Drosophila melanogaster: one gene and its partners. The protein of the gene in region 2 interacts with the protein of the main gene of each other region in a pairwise test. Each region holds a gene or a part of one and is shown on either strand. Other genes may lie near its edges.

The links. Proteins that work in one complex are often made in the same cells at the same time.
Region 1: the proteins of CG6443 (region 2) and CG15036 interact in a two-hybrid assay, tested with the Drosophila melanogaster proteins (one large-scale study listed by BioGRID).
Region 3: the proteins of CG6443 (region 2) and Mpc1 interact in a two-hybrid assay, tested with the Drosophila melanogaster proteins (one large-scale study listed by BioGRID).

What each region holds. Positions count from the first base shown.
Region 1 is NC_004354.4:7,422,135-7,428,891, reverse strand, and holds CG15036 (uncharacterized protein), read left to right. Parts: upstream 1-4,049; 5' UTR 4,050-4,079; coding exon 4,080-4,298; 3' UTR 4,299-4,365; downstream 4,366-6,757. Other genes in the region: CG32726 (uncharacterized protein), read left to right, coding at 3,166-3,213, 3,280-3,414.
Region 2 is NT_033779.5:10,722,934-10,730,804, reverse strand, and holds CG6443 (uncharacterized protein), read right to left. Parts: upstream 1,828-7,871; 5' UTR 1,703-1,827; intron 1,625-1,702; 5' UTR 1,566-1,624; coding exon 1,497-1,565; intron 1,434-1,496; coding exon 603-1,433; 3' UTR 507-602; downstream 1-506. Other genes in the region: CG17118 (uncharacterized protein), read right to left, coding at 1-107, 174-365, 423-506; CG6431 (uncharacterized protein), read right to left, coding at 2,129-2,192, 2,249-2,453, 2,537-2,971, 3,052-3,200, 6,259-6,388, 6,459-6,531.
Region 3 is NT_033777.3:18,924,604-18,932,514, forward strand, and holds Mpc1 (mitochondrial pyruvate carrier), read right to left. Parts: upstream 4,057-7,911; 5' UTR 3,786-4,056; intron 3,712-3,785; 5' UTR 3,654-3,711; coding exon 3,592-3,653; intron 3,526-3,591; coding exon 3,425-3,525; intron 3,056-3,424; coding exon 2,895-3,055; 3' UTR 2,393-2,894; downstream 1-2,392. Other genes in the region: Xrp1, read left to right, coding at 475-1,193, 1,302-1,901. UniProt on the Drosophila melanogaster protein: Mediates the uptake of pyruvate into mitochondria.

The DNA.
Region 1 (6,757 bases), on a different chromosome or scaffold from region 2:
AAAGTGCCAAATTAATGACAACCCATAGGTTGTTACTTAGGTTTATGCAAAGTCTGAGGTACTGAGGTAACCTAACCAATTCGAATTGCCCAATTTATAGGTTGACATTTTTGGACATTTACATTTTAGAACCGAATTGTCACTTTGTTAGGCAGAAGTAAAATAAACTGAATTGTGACAACCGACGATGTCCTTTATTTTATTTAAATTATTTTTTACGCAACTAAAACACATATACCAATGCCCTCTACTTAGTCTCTTGTATGCAATTAGTACCGATTTACATGACAAAGTGCAAATAAGTGCTGCATTTAACCCAAGGGAATGAATGTGGAGAATGAGTGTGTCGCAGGTGCTTTCCCAATCAGCCGTAGGGTATAATTAGTCCTGCTCTCGGCTGCTAATCTGTGATTTTCCAAATTGTTTCACAAGTGTCATAAATCAATGAAATACCAATAAGTCGTCGTCGTTGTCGTTGTCCTGCTGCTCTTCCTGCTGTTTTGCTCCCTCTGCTGCTACTGCCGTTGCTGCTGCCGTTTGCAATTGTTCGAAAATGCAAATTTTGCAAAAGGATATGCCCATGCATAAATGCTGGGCTGCCGAAGGGGAAGGGGGGGGGGATGTGTTGGGTTCCAAGGGGCCAAAGAGGCTAAGAGGCTAAGGGGCTAACGGGCTAACGGGCTAAGGGGGCACACGGAAGGACTCTCAGGTCCTCCGGCAACGACAGCAGCCAGAAGCCAGACACGAAGCAAACATATTTCATGCAGTCTCAATTGGAATTCTAAATCAATCAGATTGAGACGACGCCGCCGTCTCCACTCAGCTAACAGCTAACCAGTTCAGTTCTGTGCCGTTGGGCACTGTTGTTACACAGCGGCAAAAGTTGGGTAACTTTCATTAATTAAAATATACACAATATTTCATTTGCGATTTCAATTGATCACAATAACTTGTTCTTAATATTATATTGAGCATACTAATTAATAATTTGATGAAGCATTCCCACATTGAAATTTTGAAACTTTTCGTTTCGCATAGTGTTCAAAATTCGTAGGACTCTGTGCATTAAGTAAGACACAAATCATAATCGTATGCGTGGTGGGAGCGGGGGAATTCCGGGCGAAGGAGTGGTTATATCTAGGTGCCAGCTGGGCAAGGATCTGTGGCCTCGGCGTCGTCCTCGTCCTCGTTTCCCGTCCTGTTAGGAAATGCAAAATTTCAAATATGAATTGAACTGATATATTAATGGCCACTTGAGTTGCACTCTCTTCAGATCCTGGGGACGTTTGTCAGCCAAAAGTAACTGCAGCTTCCTGGGGGAAATTTCGAAAATGCGGAAGGGATGATGAGGTGGCTGTTGCTGGTGGTATAACCTGCTCGGTGTTGGCATTTATAAATCAAAATTTTGGGCCAACAACCTGCAAACATACGCACACCGAAGGACATTCTGCATCCGTGTATCATTGTATCTGTGCTTGTGTAATTGCCAGGACCTGGACTGCATCCTGTTTTGGGGTGGGGGCTGGCGGATTGGGGATTGGGGATTGGGGTTTTGGGGTTCTGTTTTAAGGGGGTGCCACAATTGCAGCAACTTATCTCTCGCCTGCCCATATAAATAATGACAAGCACGACGACAAATAATAACCAAACGCACACAGGACATGCCGCAGGACAATAGGCCTGGGAGAAAAATAGGGTCGAGGTAAGGACGACTACTGTCTGTGAGTGAGTGTGCATAATATGAAAATTTATGTGCGGAAAGGATTGAAAATAAATTTATGAATTATATTGGTTAGAAAATTGCATCTACTCAAGGATATCCTTAATGTCTCCAGGATATGCATGTGTTCAGCTAGGCTTGCTCATTGTTTTTGGGGCTATCTGTTACATTCAACAATGTCCTGATTCAATTTATTGTTTGTTTGATTTGCATTCTGACCGGAGACACTCGCCAGATATGTGCCTGTATATCCCTCTATAGTCGTATATATAAAGTCCTGCGTCCTTTGTGCCATTTGATTAGCGATAACAGCTGCAATTTGCGCCGAAAGTGCTTTTCGAATTATCATTGACAAAAATAAGAATCCTAAAAAGTAACACACGCAGCCAAGGCTTATCGTAAAAATCCAATAAAAGTGGGCCACAGAATTCGGTTTGGGGACTTTTATGATTTTTTCCCCTGTTCCTGCTGACATTTGGTAGTTTATGACTGGATTTGGTTTCGATGCAGAGAGAACAAAAAATAATTCAGTTCAACACGTTTTAACTTTATGCGTACATAATAATAATAATAATAACATTAGTATCTGCTATTTGTATATCTTTTAAGCATTTTAAAAGGAATTTTAGTGTTTTGATATAAGATTTTATATTTGAGATTGCTTGCTTGCTATGTAGCAATGTTTTTTTTTTCAGTGTTGCAAATATGTCAAAGTTCAGTAACCGTATTCGATGGGGGATTTTGAGTAAGGTAAAAGGAACTGGTCATAAAACTTTCCCGACACGTTTATGCCTATCTGGGTTGTGGATCTGAAATCTCAATGCCAATCCAAATATATATCCACATTCTGTGGCAGTTCATCAAATGCTCGACGACAAGTCACGAGCGCTGCAATCTGGAGTGGCTTATGGCATTAGTTATTAGTTGGGGGGTGGTTGGTATATCTGCTTATACAGGAGGATACATTTCATTAGTCAGACATCACAGGCGCATTTTACAGAGACGTGTTTCACTAAGAGACCATGTGAATAAAATGAAAACGGTGTTTGGTACTTTTGGTAAAAAAAAAAAACAATCACCAAAGGCATAAATATTACATATCTCTAGTTTCTCGAAACTTTTAAAATCGCTCAATAAAATTCTATTCGCATTGGAATAAACATTGTTACCTCGACCTAGACCCAAAGAATTAGGTTCATTTGAACTGCAACCGATTCACAGTTGTATGATCGAAAATGAGAGAGCTCCAGTGCACATGATAATTGCAGACGAGTTGAAATAATGTTATTACAAAATCAACACCTCAATTAGATATTTAATGTGACACACCAATTACGCAAGCAATTACAAATATACTCTTAATATATTTGTTTGAAATCGGTTAAACAATTGGTGGCCCATAAAAGCGAGGTGTTCGAGGCCAATGTCAATCATTCCACATCAAGATGCGTTTCTGTCTACTGTTCCTTTTGGCCATGAGCTGCTGTCTGCTGGTAACTTAAATGCTCGATAACATTACAGATTGCGCATATTCGAAATATTCGTGCCCTTTATTCTAGCAATTCTCCGTGGCTGGAGTGAATTTGGTGCGCGGACTGGAGGCTGCCGGTCATCATCGCAACTTCACCGGCTCACCACCACCGCGTGGTGCTCCTCCACCACCTCGGACCACCACCGCCAGTTCTTCGGGTTAAATAAATTGAAAGCAAAACACGAGAAAACTGGCAAAATTTCCATTGACGGACGATTTAAATGAAACCTACCATTATGTAATCCTATAGCTTCAAAAAATATAGAAAAACCATTCCAGCAAAAAAAAAAAAAAAATAGTTCCAGTGTTTTAAACCACAGTTTTAGTAAATATTCGTTTTTATTTATTCGTAATTGGCAATATATCTATCTTATCTCGTTTTAAGATACTGAAATGAATTCATTGAAATATAAAATTCTACATTTTGCACAATTTGCATCATTTATTATCTAAAATCTCTTCGCTTTTGTGAGACTTTCATTATTGATATGTAACGTCTGAAACCATTTGGCCGGACTTCCCGCGCGGCGATTAAAATCGGCATTAATTTGACAAAAGTTCAACGACAAAAAAAAAATGAAATTAAAGCTATCTGATGTTGGAGAGAAAATACAGTATACATATATAGGCTGGGCCATACCCTACATGGCCCATGGTCAGAGGTGAGGCTGCAATTTGTGATCGTATTTGTTGATACAACATATCCAATTGTCCGTCGTCATTGTGGCCAATTGAATGGAGCTGCAAGAAAAGCGAACTATAAAAATGAATGGAAGCGCCGTTGAACACAATCAGTTGTTTGGGGGAATTCTCGGGCCGAGGATCACGATGAGGCAATCCATAAAGCACATATTCGCACTGTTGGTTGCCCTGGAGTGTTTAAGCCTTGGCGACACGGCGCCCATCGGTGAGCATCCGGATCATGCCGGATGTATACGGATAACGATCATCAAGCGACCATTGGCCACCACCACCACCACGACAACAACAACAACTACAACCACAACAACCACTACAACCAGAGCAACAACCACGGCCGCTGGTTAAAAAGGAATATTCTAAATTCAACACAAACAATTTGTAGAAATACACTTAGCTCCTCTGATCAACGCTTAAGAATAGTTTCCAAATCTTATAATCTATGGTTTAACAGTATATATCCAATTGGTTTCTTGAATACCATACTATTTTCGAAATTCTACCTTTATCGCAGGGTAATCTTCAATTTATTCTGTTGAAAACGTTGTAATGCCCATTCCTGCCACTTTTCAAATGGAAAAGGCATCCGAAATCATTGCATACTTTGCGGCAGACACTCGAAATGCAATTTCAGCCACGCCCACTCCCCAAGGTGATGTAAAATGGGCTAAAACGGCTGTGAAAGGCCACCGCACAATGCACAAACGAAGCTGCCGAATATAATTAAATATTTTATCGCATAAAAGTGCCAAAAATGAAACGACAACAAGAAAATAAGCAGCCGGCATGCGTTTTTCCATCTGGCTCCTCTGACCATTGTGCTTTGTGTACACTACAAAAAAAAATATAATATTCCGTATACTACAATTTCGAATCATAGTATTCAAATAAACTTAATTGGATAATTACTAACAGCAGCAAAAATAGTTTTAGCCTTTAGTTATTCAAGCTTTAGTGGTAGTACTTATGTCTTAAGTATTTCGATGGAGCATTTTTTTCAGTGCTTTTGGCTATATGTGTGGTGCACAGGTAGAGACCACCCCTTCGTTCCTCTGGACCTTCACTTGTAACCCCTTTTGGAGCTCTTCTAATTCTATAAGCTGACATTGTTTTGGCAGGGAAAAGATTGAGGGAAACTCGAAGGGGAAGGGGATTGTTGGAGGAACACATGTTCCCCGCAAACAATAAACCCGCAGCTCGGAGTCCCTCTTTTTCGACCACTGCATTTCTTGGGTCTCTTTTAGATGAAATCTTTTGGTCAACAACAACATCAGCGGGCCATTGTTCTCGCCTTCCATTCTGTAGTGGCTGCTTTTTTCGACAATTTCCATATGAATTTTAATTATAATTTTTCTATGCTCATTTTCATGAAAACAATCAAAAATGACTTTTGTGCCGCTTGCCCGCCCCTCCCATCACAAAAAAAAACAACGAATGTTGGTTGAGGGGCTAAAAGGAGCTTGAGGTGGGCCCGTTGCAAATTGTCACTAGCATTTATATGGCCACCAGGCATCTGAAAATTAGGAAACGGAACTACATACGCGAAGGCTTTGTTTTTCGAAAATTATTGCATGGTAAAAAGTCCAATAGTTTATATACCCTATAATTTCGAAATATAGTTGAAAATTATAACGTATACTATTATATAAAAAAAATATTTGCTGACAGTTCTTAAAGCGAAAAACTGCGTGAGAAAATATTATATATTTGCATAAAAGGCAAGAGATTTTGCATAGAAATAAAGCTTATTATTTATTTTAACCATTATATTTTAAAACATATTTTTACAAGTTAATGTCTTGAATCTTAACATAGGGTTCGATCAAATGGTTCAAATGGTATGACTTTACTCACAACAAAAGGGTAATGAGATTGGGATGAGGAGCAAGCAAATTATATTTGAGCATAAAAAGTAACACAAAAGCAACACGGCGACATAAACAAGTTAACAGAGCGAGGAGTTGTTGGCTTTTGTAGTTGGCAGTTTGGCACGTTAGCGCTGCCAGCTTCCGTTTCCTGCCGTGGCCAAAAAACAATCCACCCATATGACAACTGTCGCTGTGCCCCCCTTGGCCTGGCCCCTGACCATTAACCCCTTAACCCCTTAGCCCTTAGCCCCTAGCCCCATAACCCTTAACCCCTGTCACTGGCCATGCATACAGCATAGTTTTTGAATATACCGCGAGATGGCGCACCTGTGTCATCTACGCTTTTGTCCAGATTTTATAAAAACAAAAAAAAAAACCAAAAAAACTAAAAACCAACACACAGCCCGGAAACTGTCATTATGCATTCTGATGATATTTTCGCCGCCGTCTCTCCTTTGTAGAAAATTATTTTTGTAGTCGGCTAATTAAGAGACAAAAAACCATGGGAGTGTGTTGTACCTGTATATGGCAACATACCATATGTCGTCTTCATCATCGATAAAAGTTTTGAAGCAAGTAAGTAGATGAAGGAGTTGCACAGACTGAGGCAAAAACTAATTTCGCAAACATTTGTCAGCTCATTAACAATTCAATTTGCTGCATAAACGACCTAAGCATACAAATAAAGATGGGCGTTTTGTGACCCCAACGAAATAGTTGGGCCCACTCGGATGCAGACTGACCGACCGAACCACACATGAAAAGCAGTAAATATTCAATTAACGGCACAGGGTAAAACTAATGTGAAAACGGAACCCTTTGGGTTAGCCACACCCCTTGTTGGGCGCCCCCACCCAACCCACTTGACCTTGGCCAGACAGAGTTCACTGCCCAATCACTTGTGCCTGGCACTTGAAAGCGGAACGAAACCCTTACTTG
Region 2 (7,871 bases):
CCCGGTGACATGCCCATCGGCATCGCCGTGCAGAAGGGCTTCACGGAGGTCTTGCTCTGGAAATTGGACACTCGGAAACGGCGCATGAAGCGCTGATCGTCTTGAATCTAAGGATATATTGTCATCATTGTGCAGTCCAGAGTTTACTATAAATTCATAGCACTTGGCCTTACCTTAACTTCGAAGCAAAAGTACTTGTGCATGTTCTTTATAAGGAGCACCAGGAAGGGCAACTTGATGCCCAGCTGCTCCTTGCATTCGCTGGGGCAGTGTATGAATGTGGTGGACACATTTGAGCCCATTATCTCGAGCACCAGGGACTTGATGTCCTCATCGTAGATCCGTTTGATATACCCGTTTTTGGTCTGTTACAAGGATGCTTTCTAGAGACGAGGCAGCTGCATTGAATGCCAGATACTCACATAGGAAGACCAGTTGTTCAGGGGCGAACTGCCTACGCTGTAAAGCACGGTAAGGAAACCTTTTTGATAGGCTGCACGATACATTGTCGGTTGTATATTTTGAAACTGTGTGTGTGGTTTCAACGATCAAACTATGGACATGTGACTGAGTTAACACAGCAAACTTAAACGAAATCTAGACTAATTGTAGAATGGATTATAGGTGACCCAGTGGGCGCGCTCCTGGTCCTTTTCGGTTTTATGGGAGGTGAAAAGGGACTTGTAAACATCGCTGGCCTTCGGGTCCTTGGCCACGCTGAAGTCGCTCTTGAGACGCTTCAGTTCGGGATCCTGCATTGCATTAACGGCGCCCAGTCGTTTGACCGGCGCCACCGCCTTGGTTTTTGTGCTTGTAGTGGGCTTCTCTGCGGCTGCAGCCTTGGATGTGGACGCCACTGGCTCCTGTTCCTCTGCGGGCTCCGCTTTCACCTCCACCTTTTTGGCACTCTTCTTGTCCTTTTTGGAGGACTTACGCTTGGCCGCACGCATTTCCATCTTGACCCGCATGAGCTCCATGTCCTCCTCGTTGCCATTGAGGACCACCACGTCCTCAACGCTATAGGCAGCCTGGCACAGCGGACAAGTGCTAGCCACACTGCCTTTGATCTGTTTCAAGGCACGCTCTGATAAAACGCATCCGCAGCTCCAAAGGGCCACAAAGCGAAATTTGCCGGACATCTCCAGGCCAATCAGCTTGCAGATGTAAGGAGAATGTCGTGTGTCCAGCAGTCCCTCAGTTTTGTCCTCCTCGGTGAAGGCGGGATTGGGTGTGGGATTAAGCTGGCGAATGTCCTTCATGCTCTTCACGTGCGCAGCTGTCTCTGGCATCGGTTCCTTCTCCAGCAGTCGCTCAATGACGCTCTGCTTGGAATAGAGCCTACCCATGCCGCACATGGCGATCGGCTCCTGGAGGCTTTGCTGGGTCAAGGTGCAGTGGCGCCAACGGAACTCCCTCTCCGCATCTTTGTCTTTCTGTAGGGTTCGAGAAATGATATTTCGGTCTGGCTAGGAGGTGCTCCAATCGAATAGACTTACCTGCTCTGGCTTTTGCTTCACGCGCACCAGCTCATCGCGCCTGGGAATAGTTCCTCCATCGCAACCCATGATTATATATTTATCTCAAGAATTACAATATATTTCCTGGGAATTCCTTGTTGGGCAAACTATAATATGCGATTTACAATGGGTTATGATATTTTTCAATTGTTTTACATTTTACACGGTATAAGTATCTTACTTACTTTAAATAAACTAACGATATAAATAACTATATATCTTCAGGTTGTAGTAAATGGAGAAATTCTGTTATGAGCAATAACAAATGTTTTATATACACAATGTCCATAGAGATGGTAAAACACCAAACAGCTGTAGCGACTGCAATGACGATTGCAAACATCGATATCATATATTCGATATAAATTTTGGTATATTACGGTGAACCAAACTCTTAGTATATCGAATTTGATTTTTAAATTTTCGAAAACTAAATTTGGAATTTGCAACATTTTAATAATAAACTCCTACTACGTGTAGTAGAAGGTAAGTAATTATTTCTCATTTTTCCTTCATATTTACTAAAATACCCAAAGACCAAAAAAATAATATTACTTGAATTTATTATCGACAGCTTTATCATAGAATTACAAACTACTGAAGACCAGCTCCTACGCATCCGTAAAGGGGCAGTGCTTGGCATACGGCACATCAATGCAAATGCAGCCTCGGGCGCTAAATCAAATATGAAATTGGTTATAAATTATATATATGGTTTTTAATAAACTTACTCATCGGGGGCATCGTTGCCTATGTGGTACTCCCTTATCAGCGAGGCGAACTCGAAGGGATTCACTTTGCCGCTCACTGGCAGCCTCTTGGATCCACTAAGATTCAGGCAGCCATTGGGACACGGTACTCCCATGAACTTATTGTGTTTAAATGTGGCAGTGGCCAAGTAGCAGATGCTCAAGAAGTGCGAACATCGCGATTTTCCTGTTTGATAGAGAGCACATTTATTTATATATGATTTCTTTTTCCGAGAAAGAGGGTATTAAACTACTTTAATTTAGCCTTACTGATTGGATTTCCTTTGCAGAACGGCTGGATGCGTCCACCGTTGACACAGTAGTTTAGATGCCCGGAGTTATCCTCCTGGCCCAGGAAACCGGCATTGGTGTGGAGCACCTGAATGACGTTGGCATCATCGATCGACAACCGAAACTTGTTGCTCTTCATGCGCTCAATTAAAGGCCGGGCGGGATCCAATCCAATGATGCGATACTGTTTCCGCGTCAGGTGGTTGCTGATCATGCCGCAGATGTGGGCGCCCAGGGAGTGACCCACGCAAGTGATCCGTTCCCGGACAGCTCCGTAGTGGGTGAGGAAGGCGTAGATCTGGGCGGTGCATTGCGCAGTTAACCTGGTGTTTATAAGCGAGTGGAGGTAGCATGGATAGCGGGTCAAAGGTCGCCAGTCCACTGTAATGACATTGAAATCGCGGGATAGGTAAGCTAAAAAGAGAGAGTTAAAGTTATATAAATTATAGCTTAATATTGTAGAATATAATAATTTAACAGATAGATGCACTCACCATCTCGAAGGAATTGCAGGTGAATATCTATGGCAGTTCCATTGAATCCGTGTATTATGAAGACAGTCTCGCGGTGCTTGCTAAATCCACCTTTATAAAGCGTTATTGGGTTCTTAACATTTAAAGGAGTTCCACGACGCGGTCCATTGCTGAAAATATTGTAAAAAGCCACTATATAATAATGGAATAGTATTTTGCAGATATCTCTGTTTTCTTTTTTGTGCATACATTTAAATAGAACTATGGAAATTCCATGTGTGTATAAAACCGTAGAAATCTCTCGTGCAGCAAGCACAGATCTGGGCATGCTAACTCTTAACTTTAGTTAATCTTGAAAGATTTTCAATTGAATATCAAGCTAGTAATAATGAAAAATTCATTTAAAGTGGATCAAATTATAGACTTTACAACTATGAGTTAAAATACATCACCAATTACAAGCCAAACGGTTTCCAGAAATTCTTAACGAGACTAAATAGTTGCAGAAAAAGCAATTTGTATTCCTTCGCGGATTTCCCAGAACGGAGGTGTCAGCCCGGTCATTTCCCGCTGTTATACAACCATCAATCAGCAGGCTCGTAAAAGCTGGCCATCATGTAATCCCCCCAGTTGTTAAATTTGTTACCACCGCAATTACCCGTCTGCTCTCCAAAAATGGACTTCGCCAGTTGCGACTTTGTCTCGCCTCCAGAGCTGGCGGTAATCTTGCCCAGACAAGTTGGGCAAATATCGAGGAGCCATTTACAAAGCATTTTATTGGCATTGGCCATTGAAATTGATGTCATCGCTGGCCAAGATCGGCGCTCGATGTGGAAAAAGCCGGCCTCCTTTGGCAAAAGCATCCCATCCTTAGTGGGTCAGTGGCTGGTTTCGAGAAACGAGTTGCCCGCCCATTAATTGTACTCTTATTTTTTCTCTTGCTCTTTGCCGCTTAATATCCTTATGGTTGCACAAGTGCAGTGCGACAAGTGTTTCGGCAGTTGACACACTAACCGAGTCTGAAATTCCAGTTGCCTAACACCTGAGGAACTTTCTCCCCCGCCAGCGACTAAATTAATAACATTAATTTTCCTGCTTTTGGCATTTAAATTTATAAACAAATCGAACCTAAACATGTGGCACGACTGATTTTTAAAGATGAAAACACATCTTTAGCACTTAAAAAATATATATTTGCAAGCATTTTGATCAGCACTTTATGGACTTAATACCAATTTAAAAGTGTGATTCACCGATAAAACTTGATTTTGCTCAAAAAGGAATATTACTTTGGGAGTACTCATAATATCTTCGAATCCAATCGAACTTACGGTGCATACAGACGGTGATCGATATGTGGACTGGGACAATAGTTTTTGTCGCGCAAAAAGCAGCGCAAGACATTTAGGTCCAAGGCTCCACTGTTGCGCAGATTCTTCCAATCCATTTGGCTTAGGAGCAATGTTTGTGCATCTGCAATTGCATTTCACGATTCTTAAATTCTCTGCCTTTTCATAAAAACACTTTAAAATGTGTAAATGATCAAGATTTTTTGAACGGAAAAACAAGAACTGGATTTTTTTTCAGCTTGATCAACACATTTTATGTGAAATAAATTCAGGTATTTTACCTTTGGCAAAGAGTGAGAATATGCAAAGCACGACGATTTGTTTCATTTTTTATTTGGACTTTAACGTCTTATGACTTGTTGTTTCACTTATTTAAAATGCTAATTAAAGCCAAAATTTCAATGCAGTTTCGATTATTTTCACATAAAAAAGTTACATTATCAATACTTTAACTGGTAATAATATTTACTAAAATTTTGAGCTCATAATTCAGGTTGTTATTAGCTCATGCATATAAAGTTAACTTATTATCTTTCACAATTTAAAAAAAAAATTTAATTTCACCCAATTTTACACCAAATTTTTCATTAATTTAATTCCATTCGACTGATTTGTTTATGAAATAATTTAGAGATTTTTATTTTCAAGTCACTTATTAATGAGTTATTTTCCGTGAGGATATTTGGCTTTCCTCTTTCATCGCCTTTCACATATTTCGTATATTTTTAACCAGATTCCACAGCGCTTTCCCGTTTAAATTGACAACTTGCACTCCGATTGCACGTTTCTCTAATTGATATCCATTTGTGTTTGCCTAGCGATTTCATCGTAATCCTTTGCATTGAAATTAGCAATTTTGATTTTTTCGCGAGCAATCCGCACCACGTCTTGCAGATTCGCGCTGTGCACTGCAAATGGGCTGCAAAAGCGCGAAATGCGCAGCCAAGGAAAATGCAGCAGACGCCTGCTGAAGCAGCAACAGCAGCAGTAGCAGCCGTAACAGCAACTGCAGCAGCAACAGTAAAAACTGGCCTAAGAATTGCTCAGCCCACCGCCTGTTGCCTTGACTTTGCTCAACTTCGCAGTCAAAACGTGAACGACTTTGGCTAATATCTGTATAATGTTGCTGCTGTTTTTGCTGTTGTGTTGGCTTCATTGTTGATGCAATTGCTGCTGTTGCTGCTTTTGCTGCTTTTGCCGCATTTGCCGCCTGGCGACGTCTATGAAAATGAAAATCCATGGCACACGCAACGCTGCACTGATTTTGATTATGAGTTTTCGGTTGGAAATGGTTTCGGTTTCGTTCCCCCAGCTCAATGCCATTGCCTTTTCATGGTGTCTTTGGTTTGTAATTCATATGTTTATTATTTACATAACATTCGCATTTAATGCAAATTCTTATAATTTTATTCGACGACAATTGCCAAGTTTGTTTCCTAAGTCATTCGTTTTAGCTATGCGATTGTGAAGTTTTATCAGATTTCCATCTTTTTGGTGACTAGCTGGCCTTTCATACTGCCTTTGTTTCGTGGTTCACGGTCAGGAAAATGAAAGGAAAGATTTCAGGAGTAAAATGGGAACATTTATAAGGTTAATCTGCATCGCAGAAAAGAGAAAGATTGGAATGCTTATTTGGCTAGCGTGGTAAGGCTGTTGATATTTGAAAACCAATTCGCTTTAGAGGTCTTACTGGCTTATTGTAAATTAAATTATTCATTCAAACCTAAATCTAATTTTTATCTTGTTCAATTTCGCTATTTGTTAAGATAATTGTCTTTAGCACTTCATTCAATAACGTACTCTTTTTAAAAACATTATTTTCGTCTTTTAAATTAATTTTCAACATGTTTGTCACTTTCACATTTCTCACTTTACTTACCTTGTAAACAGCTGATAATCTATAAATCGCTTAGGGCACGTTTCCCACAATAAAATGTGACAGTTTAGTGGATTTAGGTCGAAGTTTCCGTTGCGCAACAAGAATTGCAATGCCTCTCTGTGGTATTTGGCTATAAAAAAGGAAACCAGCTAAGCACACAAATCACAATCCCTATCGGCGATGCGATCTTCTTCACTTACAAGCATTCGTGATGGGATTTAGGGAAAGTAGCGATAACAGCAGTGCGATAAGGCTCGTTAGCATTTTGTCCATATGAACTCCGCATTTAAATTGGTATCACGGAGAAGGCCGCGACACATCGGGTTAAATGGAAGCCGTCTAATTGAATGAGCCACTCGCATCGGCTACTGCCAAACTAAGGAGCCAAGAGCTTTTAAAAGCTGCATCCGCACAAGAAAATGAAAAACGAATGAAAATCGCCGAAAATTGACACTCACGAACGACCCGGCGCCATCTGTGGATTGGGTGACATTGCTTTGTGGGGAGGCATCAGGCGGTTGTTTTCATATTTTGGTCTCGTGTGCGCAGAAGTTGCGTGTAACCGAACTAAGATTTCCATACGGCAAAGTGCACTGAGGAAAATCGATTTGTGTTTTCAGAAAGTTGAAAGTAAAACAATATATCTAAACTGAGCCCTCTATACCTACATCACAAAAAGGCCTAATAAACGAAGCATTTAACTTTTATTACAATTTTTATCGATCGGGCTAACTATATTCATTTTTTTTAGCCACAGTAAGCATTTACCATAGCGAGTAATTTAAATCGATTAAAATAGTTAAGAAATTGATTAAATTTTTCAAATCGCTTGATAAATGTTATGAAGCCTGATTATGCTTTTTAAATTATTTTTTTTAAATAAAATGATAAATGAATTTTGGTTAAGTTTAAATGACCATTAAATTGCATAGTTATGATAAACGCTTCCTTTCATTTAATCATGAAAGTCATATTTAATCACAGTCATATTTTTTGAGGTGTAATATCATATTGTTGACTGGGGTGATAGCGTTTCGCAATTGACTATGTGTTTATAAACGACTATTGATTGCGACATTTGGCCACCTGCAGGCTCCTTTATCCACAGCAATAAAGAATAAAAATCATTTAAAAAGCTTTGCATTTTTTAAATAGCATACCAATAAATTGTTAAACAGATTCGATGAGTGTTGAAAGTATGGCAATGATCTTAGAAATTTTAAACGCTATCACGCCACATTTCTATTAAAAATGTAATAGATCAATTAGATCCAACTGTCGCAGTTAAGGAGTATATAAAGTGTTTTTTAAAGTGAAGTTAACAGGTAGACTTGATAAAAACCAGGCTACATTTTCAAGTGCAGCGTTGGTTTCCAATTAAGAAAGTCCAATGAACTCAACCTTTAAGGCCAATTTAAAAGTCAAGCCAAACAATTTCCCTACACCTTAGATAAAAAGAAGTTGGCAGCAAAAGCGACAGCACTTAATTCTGACCACGAGAGGGAAACAGATCTGAGTTAAGGAAAACTCGGGCCCCAAAATGACATCAAACGCTTTTGCAACCGGCAGACGGCGATTTTACAAACGAAAGTAAACAATGTTGAGTCTGCGCC
Region 3 (7,911 bases), on a different chromosome or scaffold from region 2:
GGCTATACGCACGTTTTGGTTGTTGTTAGTTTGCACAAATTAACAGATGTAATAGATTTTAATTTCTCTTTCAGCACTTTTTGTTTTTCTGGTTTTATTTTTTATTTTCATTTCGATTTTGTTTTGTTCCTTTTCTCTTGGCTAATTTCACAACTAAATTTGCACAATACAGGGTGTTCTATGTATGGATCGCCTAGAATAACTCTAAAGTGACACTGCGTTCAATCAATGACGTACTCGCTGTAACTTTAATTCAGTTAGATAGTTGAGACTTTGAAAACTAAATATATATTAAATAACAATTATTTTTCGAATATTTTATACAATCAATCAATTTGCTGGTATCTTACCCTTTTCTCCAAAAAAAAAATATATATTTACCTAAAACTAAATTCAATTTATGCACACCCATTTAGCACGATCTGCCTCAATATTAATTGACTTGTACTAATAAATGTTTTTTTTTTATCACAGAATACCTGCAAGACATAGAAGCAACGTCATCGACGTGCAACAGCGAAAACGGAAAGGAGATTTTTACTGAGACGGATATTCTTGACTTTGATATAAACATGTTTGCCGAGGAGGATCTGATTGAGCTTGAGGGCAAGAAGACGGATCCCTTCAGTCCGGCAATGGACGGGATGAACAACGACAACCTAGACGACGACTTTCTACAATTGAATGACCTGCTTAACGAGGAGGAGACTTTCGACATGTCATCGATGTCCGGCGTCGGTATCGACATCAACCAGGAGCAGGAACTGGACTTCATCAACATATTCCACAACTCGCAGCCAACGGCCATGCTCACCAGCTCAGAGGACCCCTATCTCGCCACCTACTCTCAGGCCACATCCACATCCAGCACCACCAAATTCATCACGGAGGAGCCCCTGCTCGCCGACATGACCAGCTTCGACATCAGCTATACCAGCAGCCAGGAGCTCGGCTTCGGCCTTGTGGAGGACGTCAGCGGCAGTTTTGCCAGCAGTTGCAGTGACGTCGCCGCGGCCATCCCAGCCCCCATCCAACACCCCATCATTACCAACATCAAGCGTTCTGCTCCGGCCCCGGTCGAGTCGCAGCCCACCAAGCGCAGCCGACTGATGCTCCAGATCAAAACCGAGCTAGCTCCAGCATTCAGTCCGACCACACCGGAGATTATCAACCAGCTCCTGAATGATGATCGGGTAAGTATCTGTAAAGAACAGATTAAATGGTGTACCGAAAAATTGTCAGCTCTTTTGAAGTCGAAATATCCAGCACAGCCTAATTTACTTAATCTCTCCTATTTGCAGTTCGAGGCTCCCACCACAAGTACCAGTACCAGCACCAGCAACACTTCCATCAGCAGCAGCACCCATGCAGACATCGTAGAGGATCTACGCAGTGCCGAAGAGGAGACTACCACCGACTTCTCGGCGCCGAACACACCACACAGCAACTACTCAGCCAGCTCCAGCTGTGCGGCGCCCACCTGCCAGACCGGCTATGGTGGCTTCCTCACTGCTCCCACCTCGCCCGCCTATTCAACAGCCAGTACGTCCGTGTTCAGCCCTTCGCCAGCCAGCGGAATCAGCGGCAAGCGGAAGCGCGGTCGCCCTGCCAAGGATCATGCCGACGGTCCCGATCCCGTGCTCATGTCAAGCATGAAAAGCGAGGAGGAGAGGAAGGCCTACCAGGACAGACTCAAGAACAACGAAGCGAGCCGCGTATCGCGCCGGAAGACGAAGGTGCGCGAAGAGGAGGAGAAGCGCGCCGAGGACACGCTATTGGCCGAGAATCTGCGACTGCGTGCCCGGGCCGACGAAGTGGCCTCCCGGGAACGGAAGTTCAAGAAGTACCTGATGGAGCGCCAGCGGCAGAAGAGCACTTACGTTAAGCAGGAGCAGGACTGAGATTCTCGTAGCCATAGAATAGAAATTGCGGAGCATAAGCCTGTCATAGTACCTATCGTCGTCATCCAATTGTTTAGTTAGTTAAGTTGTCGTTGAAGAAGTCGAGAAGCAGAAATCAAATTTCCATTTCCATGTGGACATCAGTTAAGCCACTTATTAGGCATAGTGATGGCGCCCATAGTGCGCGAGGAGTGTTTAACTTTAATTTTACTTTTATTATGTTTGAGAAAACTAAAAAATTTTTATACCCACGGATATGTTTTTCGTCCAAAGCGTAATCAAAAAAAAAAAAAGCACAACAAAAAAATGATTACGAGTTCGTATGTTTTAACCCCATTGATGAACAAAAAAAAGTTTAAAAAATGTCAACAAAAAAATATGCTATTGTTAAGAACAATTGAAATGTATATTTTACAGATATCAACTTATATAACCGTAATTGTTTGAATAAAAAGCATGTTTCAATAAACGTGACAAAATCAACTAACTTTGTATATTTGAATGGGTTCTATAACGTTCTTCATTTTAATGATTAAATGTTACAATTTTATTACAACCATTTTGTATTGACAGACACTAGACAAAATTAGATTTTGATATCTTTTATTGGATTTTAAACCATATTCATATAATCGTAATCTAAGCATTGCACCGACTTAAAATTTTGATCAACTGCCTAACGGAATTAACTAAATGGGCAAAGTAACAAGTTGGGTATAGACTCAATTGGAATTGGAATTTGACCCCAGCGAAAACGGCTACTGGGGCACGACAACTTCGCGATTCGAGATTCAGCCGATTGTGCGGGTGTGATTCACGGCAATTACTCCACCACTTGGATTTGATTTGAATGGGATTGCGGCAGTGCAATTTGCTAGATCTTCGTTGCGTGTGGTGGCAGTAAATTGCGATAGCTGCTGCTGTTGGGTAAACATTTGAAGTGGCTTCGCGCGTCGCGTCTCGGGGAAGTGGATTTCGGGGCAAGGATTACATTTACGCCTGCTGCTCCTTAGACCCGTAATTGTAGTGAAGGAAGCGAAGACCCTGGATCGATTGGGCGGTGGCATTGGTAGCGTGGCAGGCGAAGAGCAGCCAATTCCTGGGCTGGACCTTGTAGGCAAATCGCATAAAGATGCACGAGTACAGGGTCAGAGCTGGAAAAGATCGAGGATAAGCATTTCTGGGAGACTTATTTACATAGGCAAAGGCACAGGACAAATTATAAGCAAAATTTGTCATAATTTCCATTACATTATGTGCATATTGCCTCGCTGGCATCTTATTCCGATGGAATCGGATTATGGAGTAAAATGGACAAATTGTGCTTAGTTTTTTCTCTGTGCAATCTTATCGGCAGACGTTTCGACAGTTTCCGTATCTGGCTTATCAGGCATTATAGAGTGATTTGTTTAGAACATATCACAGCGGCTCTGATTACGACATCTTAAGCGAAAACTTTCGATGCCAGTCGCGCGTGTATGGATGCCAGATGGAGGCCAAAACCCAAGGGGGGATATCCTTACCCAATGTCATTTTGCCGGAGATGAATTTGGGACTCTTTTGTGTGTCGGCGAGAGCAGCCACCGGAATACCCCAGTTGGCCACCGGGCCCCAGAAGTGGGTACTGTGGATATAAAAAGCAATATTTACAATAAGTCATATAAGGCCAATTGATAACCAACAAACAGACCTCATAAAGTAATCCCGCCACTCCTTTGAGGCCGTTGTGGACATAGCTCTCCTGATCGACATGATGCTACCGCTTTGCTAATTGAATATATCTGACCAGAAATGTTAATCAGAAGCGCACCTGGTGGAATAATTTAGATTAGATTGCCATTGCCGCGCAATATAAATCCGAAAAAAATCCCCTCAAGGTCTTACAGGTTGTTCGCCGTGTTGTTGTTGTTTTTGTGGTGCCAGCTGTTGTTGCTGTTGTTTGTTTACCGCCTGGAACACCTTGATCGAAAACACGAAGAATTTGGAACTGCAGGCCGCGTTGCAGGTGTGTGAAGTGTGTGCCTAAATATTCACAAGCTAGGATATATTTTTTGTTTATGTGTCGGCCGTGTTGTCACTCCGAAAGTTATATAAAATTAGTCAAACGAAAGGCATCAACGAGTTTTCTCTGCCGCGTCGCTGTCGCGTCGGAGTTATCGATAGCCCGTACAATCGCCACATCCAAGGGTCACACTTAGAGATGGACGTCGAATGAAGCGAATGCGATAGGTTTTAAATCTTTTTTTGAAAAGTGGTTAACATAACCTTCAGCAATATTTTAGTTGGGCAAATTTGTGCCCAGGCACTATGCTAAGACTTTTATTAATAAAATATTTATAACAAAAAAATATTCTAGCATTGTAAACAGTGTAAAACAATACAATGCTTTCAAAGCTCTACGCATAAATATCAAGAAATCTAGTATATTGATATTTATATTACATTATTAATATTAACTTAAATATTTATAAAGTCAATCGAAAATTAAACATTTAATTGCTATTCTAAAACGAGTTTAATCTTGTTGCTTTTTCATTTAAAATCCTGTAAGTTATACCGATATATTACACTATCGTTGAAAGTCATTGAAGCGCTTGATCGGTGTCAGGCATATACTGATCGCTGCAACACTCGACTCGATTTGCAATCTCGATAGGCTTGTCGCAGGGACTTCCCTCCCTATATCCGCCGAAAAGCGGATGCTTGATGTGCATTAAGCCCGCTAATTACAAGTGGACGTAATGTGTGCATTTGCAACGCATTTGCTGAAGTGCGGGCGCCACGGTTTTCAAGTGGTTAATCCACCACGCGCTTCCGCTCTTCACTTAATACGCGCTCTTCCGGCTCTCTTAAAAGGACCAAGGCGAAGAGAATTGGGGCGATGGTTTCTGCGCCGACAGCCTGCGCCTGAGTCCTTGGCCGCGGCGGCAGAAGACCAAAGCAGCACAACCAGCAGCATCCGAGTGCGAAGCAACCAGCATCCAAAACCGAATCCAAAACTCCGGCTCAGTGTGAATTTGCGACTCGAGAGCGACGGCGGCTCAAAGGAAACTTGGCTCGGTAAATAGTCCTTATCGAAGGAATCCTGGCACCAACAACACACCACATCCTCTGGCCAAATAACAACAACAACAACAACAAAGTGAAAAAGCGGAATAGGCAAATGGAAATTGTGTTGGCAGTCGATGCCGCTGCTGACTTCGCTGCCACTGTTCTGCCAACTTGTAATCCCCGTGTGTGTCTGTGTGTGTATGTGTGCGTTTGTGTGCTGTGTGTGTGCGTGCGTGCGAGTGTTTATATGTGGTCAGTGTGCCATTTTGCAAGCATTTTCCATGTGCGGTGCTTGGGAAAGCTAAAGAAAATTCAAATTATGCCCAAAGAAACCAACTCCAAGAATTGCCAAAACAAAGACAGATTTTGCTTCTTTAAATTTTTAAATGTTGACTACGCGTCATCAGTTGCCGCAGCTTCAGTTCAGTAAAACCTGAAAAGAAAAACCATTTGAAGAAAAATCAATCCTACACATAATGGTCACTTTTTTTTGTATTCCCACATTTGTTGCTAGTAAGCATGAAATTTTCGTACATTTTCCCCAGTAAGTCTGCCAAAAATGTTTTTCCACGCGAGAAAAAAGGAAAAGTTTAAGAGAAAACCAAATGAGCCGCTCCCAAAAAATCCGAATTTATCAACAAAAACAAGAGCAGAAGCAAGAAGAAGCGTGAAAATGGGGAAAAGCAAGAAAGAGCAACCACAACAACAGACAAAGAAAAGCGAGAAATATAATTGAAAATCAAAGAAAGGGAAACACAAAGCAACCAGATTTGTGAATTTTTTTAAAGGGATTTTTACCAGTTTTCTAAGTAGCGGAAGTAACTATGTGAAATGGGTGTAAAATAAAGACATACTAAAACTTGTGCTCAACTAACATTAAAGCGATTTATATAAAATAATTAGAATTAGGATTCAATATTAAATCCCAAAAGACCAAGAATGGTAAATGATTTCATTCGTAAAGCAAAAGGTGAAACACGTAAAAGAAAAGATGTATGAAACAAACACTCTGTTTGGGGTATAGCAAATATACATGTAGACCAACCATATAGGACGACCTACTTAGCGGCCCTTGAAGGTCTTTGTCGTTAGCTGGACACTTGTGTTTTCCTGGGCGAGATTTGCCGGACATAATTACTCGCTCCTGGTGGCGCATCTTGGCATCTTCGAAATGTCCCCAAAATGCCTCAATTGAATAAGTGCCAAATGGAGGCAAATAGCTAAAAAGGCTCCTCTTAAGCGCACTTAAGCGCACTAATCCAGTGCGACTGTGTACTCCGTACTATGTTGTTAAAGTGTCCGAGAGCTAAACAGAATCCAAATCTGTTCACTTGCTTGCTGTTGATTCAATCAAGCGCAAGACGGCACAATCATCCGCACCCACACAAATGCAGAGAGCTCAATGCAAATTGAGTTTATTGTTCGGTCAATTGAGGCGCACTCGTAAGACATTTATTTTATGGCCCGTAAGCAGATGAGGTGATTTGCGTTTAGTCGCCCGACTGCCACCCGTGCGAGGAGTTCGAGATCCGTGGCAGCACAATCATAGTGGACCGCCCCTTAAAAGAAAATCCTTTGATTTCTACAGGAAAGTGTCTCGAGTGAGTGAAATGCCAAGCTGAGAAGTGGAGAAACCAAGTGCTAAAGCAAAAGTTTACAACCAAATAATAATACCAATGTAATACAAAGCAAACGAAAGTGTTCAGCAACAAACATTCCTCGCCCCGGTCACTGGATCAGGATATATATATATACACATACAAATAGCAAAAAAAAAAAAGGATACGCATACGGATAAAGATAAGGATAAGGAGCCATAGATGCAGCCCTAAGTAAGTACGACTGCAATTAGCATTAGCTTAGCCACTAAGTCGTCAATCGAGTGTTTCAGTTTCCGTTTCAGTTTCGGTTTCCGTTCAGTTTTTGGCTTTTCCTACCAAAAGGGCGTGTGTTTTGTATCCTCGCCTCTCAGCATCTCTCTTTGCGTGTGTGCCCGTGTGTGTGTGTGTGACGCTTTCTCTCTAGCTTTCGCTTCTTGATGTTGTTGTTGCCGTTTTTCATTGATGTTGATAGCCTGGTACATCATCAACTTGCTGCTCGGCTGCGCCTCTTTACTTTGTGTGTAATAAAATTGATGATAAAATAAAACTGGATAATGGGTGATTTTCGGTCTTCGTATTCGTCTCCTCGAGAGAATTGCGAGCTGAGCGCTACCACAGACGGCAGCCAAAGCCATCACCATCAGGCAGGAGCCAAGAGTTGTCAAGTCCGTTGTTTACCGTCTCTCATTTTTGTGGTAAAATAGCAACACACACACACACACATATATACTCGCACAGAAAACCACACATTTCTCTTTTGTCTCTTCCCTGGACTTACACCACGTTACTACAAACACACACACGCACTTTCTCTTTAGCGCTCTCTCTCTTTCTCTCTCTTCGTGTGTCCTTTGTGGGTTACTTGGTGTGTGGGTGGGTGTAGGGGGCTGCATACTGTGGCTGATAAGAACACTGCACAGTTGTTAATGGCTCTGAAAGCTTGCAACATTTTAATCACGATAATAGCCTTCGATAAGAAGTTAATATCAATCGTTGTACAGGAATGCCAAAGTACAGTGAAACGTGCAAATGTCCTTATATCTAAAACAACAAATATTAAGAATTTCTGCACTTTGTAATTATGTTATTTTTTCATTAATTTATCAATATATTTTCACATGCCTTAAGAACGAAATGTACTTACCGAACCGGAAGTCAGTAGCTTCAATTTTCTATAAAATTATCTCCACATCATATCTTATCTTTTATACATTATATATGTATACGATAACCAAATACAGCAATTCTCTGCGTCTCAAATCAATTTTTAACACATACACTGGTTGGAGATAAAAGAAAACGAGTAAACTGTATTTGCCACTGGAGATGGGACGAGATAAATACGTGGATCTAGAGTG